Yarrowia lipolytica: one gene and its partners. The protein of the gene in region 2 interacts with the protein of the main gene of each other region in a pairwise test. Links are inferred from orthologs where the notes say so. Each region holds a gene or a part of one and is shown on either strand. Other genes may lie near its edges.

Region 1 (3,366 bases), on a different chromosome or scaffold from region 2:
TCCAAGTTGTGTGAAAAATAAACACACCATTAGAGAGCTCTCAGCCAGACAAATCCAATGGTGTAATTTTTTCAGCGATAGTCGTACTTATAGTCAACTTAGAGTCGTATTCGTACTATCTCATATAACAAATAGCCTGAGCATCCAGATCCACATCTTCAAACCATTCAAATCACGGATATTCCAATGGATTCTGGGTAAAAACTTACTCCGCTGAGTACCAATTGCCCCACTGGGCAATTTTTCAATCATTCGACATATTTTTGCGCCTCCCTTGCCTGTCTCTCTTGTCTCAGTCAACAATGCTCAATATCTCGCTAAGCGTTCGGTTGAGTCTAATGTGGGGTTGCACCATACCGTCAGAGTCGGGAAGCCGTGAGTGAGCTGCATGGGCGCGGGGCGCGGGGCCATCAGGATCTGTCACGTGACCGAGGTCCGTCACGTGACCGAAATTTCGGCTGATGGTGGGTCACGTGGCCACATCTTCTGCTTGGAACAAGCCCTGGGTCTGGAAAACTGTATCAGGCCTCCTGCCTCTATCAGCACATGGGTCGCCTTCTGTCAAATCTATCCGATTTGTGAGGGGCTGGAAGTGCATTGGTTGTGCTCGTTTTTGTGGTATTGTTTCTGTCTCCAGTAGACCGCAGTTCAGAAAGAGAATGTTTCCATGTTTCCATGTTTCCAGGTTTCCATGTTTCCAGGTTTCCATGTTTCCATGTTTCCATGTTTCCATGTTTCCATGTTTCAATGTTTCCATTTTTCAATGTTTCCATTTTTCAATGTTTCAGGACAATATTGTATGGCGAATTTAAATATGTTAAGGTTCCGTGTACCTCAGTAAATTTTTTGTATGTTTTTTTATGTTTTTTTACCAAGTGCTCAAGTGTACGGGGAAAGTATTTGATGGTTTGGGGTGAATATCAGCTATTTATCTCAATCGTCTGCGCTTCCGTCCAAAAAATCGAAACCGGGGCATCAAAACTGGCTATTCTACAGACCTTTCTTTCCCCATTAGCTTTACTTCATCAGTTCAACTAACGTCCCAAGTAGAGTGGAGTTTTGATCTCCATCTGATAAGCGACAAGGGTCCTGTAGAAGCGGTTGCAAAGGCGATATTGGACTTGGAAACACCTCCAGAATCTTTGTAGAGTCGATTTTTGTCCCTTTCTGATTTCAAACCTCCGTTTACGTCCCCGCAAAGTGCGGTCGGATCGGCCTCTGTTTACGTGCTGGAACAAATAAAGTTGAGTGGAAAATCAAAGACACCAACATTCGCGATTCAGCTCCCCCACAGTCCACCACCAGTGCCCGCCCCGCCCCGAAATGTCCGCGGAAGATCTCAAGAACCAAGGCAACAAAGCCCTGCTTTCGGGCCACTACAACGACGCCGTGGATCTGTACACGCAGGCCATCGAGCTGAACCCCCAGTCTGCCGTCTACTATGCCAACCGGGCCCAGGCCCACATCAAGAACGAGGCGTACGGTGTGGCTATCGAGGACTCGTCCAAGGCCATCGAACTGGATCCTACCTACATCAAGGCTTATTTTCGTCGGGCTGTGTCCAACACCGCCATCATCAAGCACAAGGACGCCCTGGTGGACTTCAAGAAGGTTGTTCAGCTGGCTCCGGGCGATAATGCGGCCAAACAGCGACTCAACGAGTGCCAGAAGCTCGTTCGAAAGGCCGCGTTTGCGCTGGCCATCGCTGTGGAGGAGGGCCCGGCTCTGTCCGAGCAGATCGACCTGGACGTGGTCAAGATCGACAACAATTACGACGGAGTTAAAATCGACGACGGATACGACGAAAATGACAAGCCCGTCTTCACGGTGACGCAAAAGTTCATCGACGATCTGGTCGAGCGGTTCAAAAACGGCAAACTGCTGCATCTCAGATACGTCTACGCCATTGTGGTCGGCGCCATCAAGCTGTTCAAGGAGGAGCCCACCATGGTCGAGACTCCCGTTCCCGAGGGAACCACCACCACCGTGTGCGGAGACACCCACGGGCAGTTCTTTGATCTGCTGGAAATTTTCAAGCTCAACGGCTGGCCTTCCGCCACCCACAGATATGTGTTCAACGGCGACTTTGTGGACCGAGGGTCGTGGTCGGCAGAAATTGCCATTCTGCTGTACGCTCTCAAGCTGCTGAACCCGTCGTTCATCTACCTGAACCGGGGCAACCACGAGACTGACGACATGAACGCCGTCTACGGCTTTGAGGGCGAAATCAAGCATAAATACAACGAACGGACCTTCAAGCTCTTTTCAGAGTCCTTTTCGGCTCTGCCTCTGGCCCATCTCATTGGAGGCGCCTACTTTGTTGTTCATGGCGGTCTCTTCTCCAAGGACGGCGTCACTCTGGACGACATTCGAGCATACTCACGATTTTCGCGAAAACAGCCTGGCAACTCCGGTCTTATGATGGAGATGCTGTGGACCGACCCGCAGCCCGAAAACGGCCGGTCGCCGTCCCAGAGAGGAGTGGGTATCCGTTTCGGACCCGACGTGACCGAGGCCTTCTGCAAGGAGAACGGGCTGAAGGGAGTTCTGCGATCCCACGAGGTGCGAATGGGAGGCTACGAGGTGGAGCATAACGGCAAGCTGGTGACGGTCTTCTCGGCCCCCAACTACTGCGATTCCCAGGGCAACAAGGGCGCCTACATCAACATTGGACATGATCTGGAGATGCAGTTTAACGTCTTTGATGCCCAACCTCATCCCGATGTCAAGCCCATGGCTTACAGCAACCGGCTCATGGGTTAACGGATTTGGAAACTAGTGGCCGAAGGTCACGAGTGGACAACAAGCCGTTCGAAAGTTGACGTTTGAAACTAGACGTTTGAAGCTACAAGTAGAGGTTTGAACTAGACGTTCGAAAGTAGACGTTTGACGTTCGACGCTCGACGCTCGACGCTCGACGCTCGCGTGGCATTCTCGTGAAATAAAATATATGTATTTGTAGACTCATTACTTAGGATCATCTAATGGTCCATCAGATCATCTCATACTTGTTCTTTGATAATTCTTGCACCAACATATCGCCGTGACTTTCTGATTCATCTGGCATCGCCCATAACTTGCCGCCCAACCACCTTTACTACTACTGCCTCTAAAAATTACCCAATCCGTTACTATAAATAGGTGTTTCACACGTTTCTACTAGACCATGTTCCACGTTTGTTAATATCGAGGCGACCTGGATCTGTGGTTGTTCTCGCGAGACCTGTCCCGACTGCGCCTACTCTCTGAGGACCTCCTCTCTGAGGACCTCCTCTCTGAGTACCCCCTTTCTCTAGACCTCTCCCTGCTCCTCCCTGGCCGGGTGTCGTCCTCTCTGTCTCCATCCGCCCCATCACTTTCGTCTCG
Region 2 (2,866 bases):
AAACGTGATTGCATCCAACATTTACCGTAAGGACGACGCCCCTCAGTACTACCGTGGAAATACTCAGCTGGTGGCCATCTCTGCTGCCTCAATTGTTCTGGTCTTGCTGGTCAAGGTCTACTATGTGGCTATCAACCGACACAGAGATAACAAGTGGAACGCCATGAGCAAGGAGGAAAAGGCAGAGTACAAGGCTACCACGAAAGACATTGGCAGTCGGCGGTTGGATTTCCGCTTTGCCCATTAGCCTAAATAGATTAATAGATAGTGGAGATTCAAATGGTGATAATGTGCGCTTGTGGCAGCACATGATACTGTAGTGTAACACGGTTAATGCACGCTATGGAGACACAAATACCCCTCCAATATCAGCAGCAAAACACACTATTAGGTGGTGTTGTTAATGCAATTGATGCACACAGACAGCTTATTCACACCCAATTGGCACATGCACAGTTACTTACATATCCAATTGACACTACATGTACTACTGTACGAACTATACTGCACCCTCGATCTTAATCATCATGAATTTATTTATACATTAAGCATGTAGCTTTTGATGGCTTGTGGATCGCTTATTTGTCCTCCTTGAGCTCAGGAAGCTCCTCAGCCTCCTCGCCCTTCTCGCCCTCAGCACCCTCGGCGTCCTCAGCACCGCCAGCAAGACCGGCACCACCGCCCATCTGCTTCATGAGAGCCTCCATGTCCATACCTCCAGCACCTCCAGCACCTCCAGCACCACCGGCGCCACCCATGGCCTGCATCATGGCAGCCATATCCATGCCACCAGCGCCTCCGGCACCGCCAGCACCTCCAGCACCGCCCATAGCCTGCATCATAGAGGCCATGTCCATGCCGCCCATGCCTCCAGCGCCTCCGGCACCACCGGCACCGCCAAGCTGGGAGAAGTCAAGGCCCTGGCCTCCCATGCCCATGTCCTCCTCGGCAGGAGGCTCCTCGTCCTGCTCGTCCTCGTCAACCCACTTGTCGAAGTCGGTCTTGATGAACCGAAGACGGTGCTTCTCGTTGGTGAGTCGGGGCCAGTAGTCCTTCTCGCACTTGACCTTCTGGAGAATGTAGGAGATGCCTCGACCGGTCTCGGTCTTTTTGCTAGCCTCGGGATCAATGTCGCCGTAGAACTGAAGATCCAGCTCGTAGGAGTTGTGATCGTTGTAAGCGTTGAGCTTCAGCTTGTTGCTGGTGAGCTCAATCTCAATGTCCTTGGCATCGGGAATCAGGATGTTCAGGTAGACAATGTTCTTGGCTAGAATGTGCTCGTTAGACCGCTGGGCCCAGGTAACCTCGGGGGTGATAGACTTAGTCTTGTTCATCTTGCAATTGTGTCTTGATGTGATGTGAAGAGAAGGAGGTCGTTGGCTTCTTGATATGCTACTTGTGCTTCTCCAGATAAGCTTTAGGGTGTGGGTGCAGATATTCGATGTTCTTCTTAGAACTTCCAGGGCGTGCACAAACGCTAACTGGGGGTCGGTCTAGGTGGCAATGCAGGCGGGGAGGCGTGTAGATGTGGTTAATAGGGAATGAGGCGAGTGCCTTTTGAGGATGGCATATTGGTGGTACATAGAGGGTTACGTAAAGTGACGTCATTAGAAACATCCCCAGTCACGTCAGTGATAATATAATACGAAGTACTCGTACAATTATAGACAAACAAGGCACCAGGATGTTCACTGAAATTTGTGCCCCCGATTCTCCCGATTCTGCGGGCTGTAGATCAGTCTGTGCATACGTCATTGTGAGTGGGAAAATAATTTATGATGAAGAAGAGGGATATACGAAGCAGATAATGTGTCAATGTGGATGTGAAGTACGATCCGCCATCGCGTACGATGCGAGTACGTCTGCTGAGTCCATTATTTCGATTCTACGCAGTTTACACAAAAATAATTAGCGGGCGATATGTTCTAACACGTGCGTATTTCTTGAAGGCAGAGAGCACTGAACGTGTACGAGCGCGAACAATGTTCAAGCTCACACAACTCGACTTGTTCAATTATTGATACAAGTAGCTACAATACAGCCACGAGCGGTAGGATTCTACTAGATCACAATTACTCAATCAATATCATAATAAATTATTCATATCTAACTAATACAGGCAGAGTCGCTTAGAGAACTCGGGCGTTGTTGATGCCCTGGCCGCCGGCGAGACCAGCACCGGGCTGGATTCCGCCCTCGGCAGCACCGAGAGAGGTAGGGTTGATGCCCTCCTGACCAGGCTGCAGAAGCTCCTCGTTGTTTCGGCCCAGAGTGGGATGAGCGATACCAGAGCCGGTACCAGTTCCAGCTCCATCCTGGTGATGGTGGTGGTGGTGGTGGTGCTCAAAGACCTTCTCACCAGACTGGCCCTGGTTGGCTCGGGTCTTGGTGTTGTACTCCGAGTTGGAACCGACACCAGAGGCGGTGTGCGAGCCAGTCTTCGTGCCAGTAGAATCGTAAGCCGAAGAACCGGTGTTTCCAGTAGTTCCGTGCTTTCCAGTGGTGCCCGTCTTGGAGTCGTAGGCAGAAGTGCCGGTGGAACCGTGCTTGCCAGTGGAGTCGTAGGCGGAAGAGCCTTTCTTAGCCTCCTTCTCAAACTGCTCCTGCTCCTTGGTGGTTCCAAGGGGAACACCCTCCTTTCGCTCCTCGTACTCGGAGGTACCGGGGATGTGAGAGAGGAACTTCTCGCCGAGAGAAGCCTCCTTACCATGGGTGCCGCTGTGGGGTCCAGTAGTAGAGTCCTTTCCGTAGGCGTCGTTGCCGTAGGCATCCTTTCCGTGAGTTCCGGTAGAAGAAGTGTTCTTTCCGTAAGCATCAGAGCCAGTGGAAGAAGTGTTCTTGCCGTAAGCATCCGATCCGGTTCCAC
Region 3 (2,780 bases), on a different chromosome or scaffold from region 2:
ACAGCAGTACCATCACCGTTTGACTTGGTCTGCTCCTTCTGGTTCTGCCAATGGCCCATAACAGCTTCCTCCAGCTCCTTCTGAATGGCCTCAATGTCGTTTTCCAGCCGGATGATCTGGTGGCGAGTGTTTCTGATCTGGTGAACGTCGATATCCGCCCGCGGGAAGCCATCAACGGTCAGCGGAGTGGTCATGTTGACATTGTGCGACTTGAGCACGTCGTAGAGCGCATCTACCGTCTCTCGCAGCGAGTTACGCTTGTTCTGGAGCTCGAAAATGTGCTGAGACATGTGTGGTGAAGGTGTGTAGAGGGAGTGCGGTGGGAGTAGGAAGTTAAACGGGGATGTTGCAACTAATGGTCAACTGAGTTTAGTTGGACTTTGTGGGACCAAGACTAGCGACAATGTTGGCAGGTGGAAGTGAGCCAATGAGCCGTGATTCGCTGATTTCTTGTGCAGGCTATAGTCTCTCACTGTACCCACCTAAACAAGTCGACGGGTGGGTTGGTCTGATGGCTTCGCTCACTTTTCGTCTAGTCATTCTCTCATGTCTTATACAATACTATACTGGTATATAACAGGCGCTTCGACGAGATCCGTTTGGCTACTCCTTCTGAACCTCTTCCAGCGCCTGGGTATAACTGGCCTCGGGGCCAATCTTGACCTCCTTGACGGCGAGCTTTCCGTTCTTGAAAATCCAATGGCTGCGAATCACGCCCTTGGGCACCTTTCCGGGGGTCTTGGTGGCGCCCAGAATGCCAATCAGTTCGTGCTTGGGGTCGGACAGCAGCTCGTAGGGCGCATTCTGCTTGGTCTGGAACTTTTTCTGGGCGGCGGTGGAATCAGCCGACAATCCAAACACGGTGGCATCGACCTTCTTGAAGTCGTCGTATTTGTCTCGGAAGCCACACACCTGCCGGGTGCATCCGGGAGTGGACGCCTTGGGGTAGGCGAAGATGACGACGATGGGTTCCTTGGCCACGAGCGCGCTCAGATCGATGGGATTGCTGTCCTGGTCCAGCAGTGTGAGTTTCTCCGGCAGGGCGTCTCCGATTTGGAGTTCAGTGGGGACTTCCTCAGGCTTGGACTCGTTGGTCTTAGCCTCATCCTCCTCAGTCTTGGACTCCTCGGTCTTGGACTCCTCGGTCTTGGACTCCTCGATATCTTTCTTGTCACTTCCATTCACCTTTTGCTTTTTGGCGCGCTTGGAGGGCAGCTCCTGGGGAGCAGGGGCCTTTTCTCCGGCCAATCGGGCAGATCTTCGGGCCATTTTTCGAGCAAGGCGGTTGTTGCGGACGGGGGAGAATGGGGGAGCAAAAGTCGGGCGAATTAAATTCACTCAATCGTGTGGTTGAGAGGCTCGGCTCCCGCACCCCGTCGTCGACACCATATTGGGAGGGGGCCATTAGAGTTAGGCACAGTAGTGGATGGTGGAGGAGGTTGCAGCTTCGGAGGGGTGCTCATGGGGGCGAGGTTTGGCGTCTGATTTTGTTCGATTCCGCAGAAAACGCGAAATTGAACATCTCCATCAACTTTTTCCCGTTTCTCCGGCCCGTTTCTGACTCACTGGAGCCCAAGATTGACCCACGACTAGCGTTGCAGTTGAACCAGAGAGTGGTTGGTGGCGTCGCCAAAGTAGAAGCGCCATTGGCCATAGCGTGAGAGAGCGACTACTTGTAGTTACGACTCTCAACATCTCCTTGCAGGCAAGGGGGTTTTGCACCGGTTTGTGTCCACAATATGAGAGCTGTTCGCGTAGGCGCAAGTCACTTTCGAGAACTGAAATGAAAGTGTCGTTGGAGTCGATCTGTAGAGCTCTTGTATATACCAAAGGTACCGAGCCTTAAGGAAGCACCAATTAGTAAATCATGTGACCGTTTCTCGTGCCGCCCTGGTCGAAAGAGGTCTTTCTGGAAATTTCTTGGAATGTTTGAGAAGATGAAGATAAGTAAAGCGTAAGTAAAGCGTAAGTAAAGCGTAAGTAAAGCGTAAGTATGTACTAGTATCAGGTATTGTAGTTTAGGAGTCACGGCTTGGATGGTAGATAGTCGAGAAGAAAGCCGAAATCGTGGAGTTGTTCGTTGTTCTCATGCTGCTACTGCTACGGATGTTACTGATAGTCCGTAGTCGTCCTTCTACCGAAAGAGCTGATAATCTCCTATCACATCTACAACCTGAGATTCATTCCCAAGAAAGGAATGCCGACTGAACGTACTAATGAGCAGAAGCCATCAATCTCCGCAGTACTCGTACTAGTACTACAGTCCACTCCCCTGCAGTTGACTCGCCAATCAACTCCGCTACAGTCAACTCCTCCTCGTTTGAGACAATAGCCCTACCTGTACCGGCTGGCAAGGAAGTCTCACCTGAACAATGCCCGAATGAGACCAGAAGGGTACGTGAAGAGGAAGGATACGAATCACGTGAAGAGGAGAATCACATGAGGGGGAGGGATACGAATCACGTGAGTACAAGGGTCATAACCGAGACTATAATGTCACAAGTATCAAGTCAAGTCAGTCAGCGGCTGTCAACTCACCGATGTACTTGCCCACACCCTTTCCAATTATCAGATCAGGTCGACATTGGATCATCAGGATCAACGTGGATCATCGTGGATCATCGTGGATCATCATGGATCATCACAGACCAACATGGATCTGCGCCGACCCTACGCTGATGGTGGTAGCGTCGAGTCTATCCTGCCTCCACAGGGCCATGAAAGTTGTCGTATTCCGCGTGGGGGCTGGCTTCCTGACAGAAGCGTTGGACCATGCGGCA

The links.
Region 1: the proteins of YALI1_D00449g (region 2) and YALI1_B09044g interact in a two-hybrid assay, tested with the Saccharomyces cerevisiae proteins (2 studies listed by BioGRID). The link is inferred for Yarrowia lipolytica from reciprocal best matches to the Saccharomyces cerevisiae genes SBA1 and PPT1.
Region 3: the proteins of YALI1_D00449g (region 2) and YALI1_E23292g interact in a two-hybrid assay, tested with the Saccharomyces cerevisiae proteins (2 studies listed by BioGRID). The link is inferred for Yarrowia lipolytica from reciprocal best matches to the Saccharomyces cerevisiae genes SBA1 and DOT5.

The regions. Positions count from the first base shown.
Region 1 is NC_090771.1:903,151-906,516, forward strand, and holds YALI1_B09044g (uncharacterized protein), read left to right. Parts: upstream 1-1,323; coding exon 1,324-2,763; downstream 2,764-3,366. Other genes in the region: YALI1_B09072g (uncharacterized protein), read right to left, coding at 3,181-3,366. UniProt on the Saccharomyces cerevisiae protein: Protein phosphatase that specifically binds to and dephosphorylates the molecular chaperone Hsp90 (HSC82 and HSP82). Dephosphorylation positively regulates the Hsp90 chaperone machinery.
Region 2 is NC_090773.1:43,609-46,474, forward strand, and holds YALI1_D00449g (uncharacterized protein), read right to left. Parts: upstream 1,335-2,866; coding exon 579-1,334; downstream 1-578. Other genes in the region: YALI1_D00422g (uncharacterized protein), read left to right, coding at 1-247; YALI1_D00474g (uncharacterized protein), read right to left, coding at 2,130-2,866. UniProt on the Saccharomyces cerevisiae protein: Acts as a co-chaperone.
Region 3 is NC_090774.1:2,327,743-2,330,522, reverse strand, and holds YALI1_E23292g (uncharacterized protein), read right to left. Parts: upstream 1,270-2,780; coding exon 604-1,269; downstream 1-603. Other genes in the region: YALI1_E23302g (uncharacterized protein), read right to left, coding at 1-290; YALI1_E23280g (uncharacterized protein), read left to right, coding at 2,541-2,780.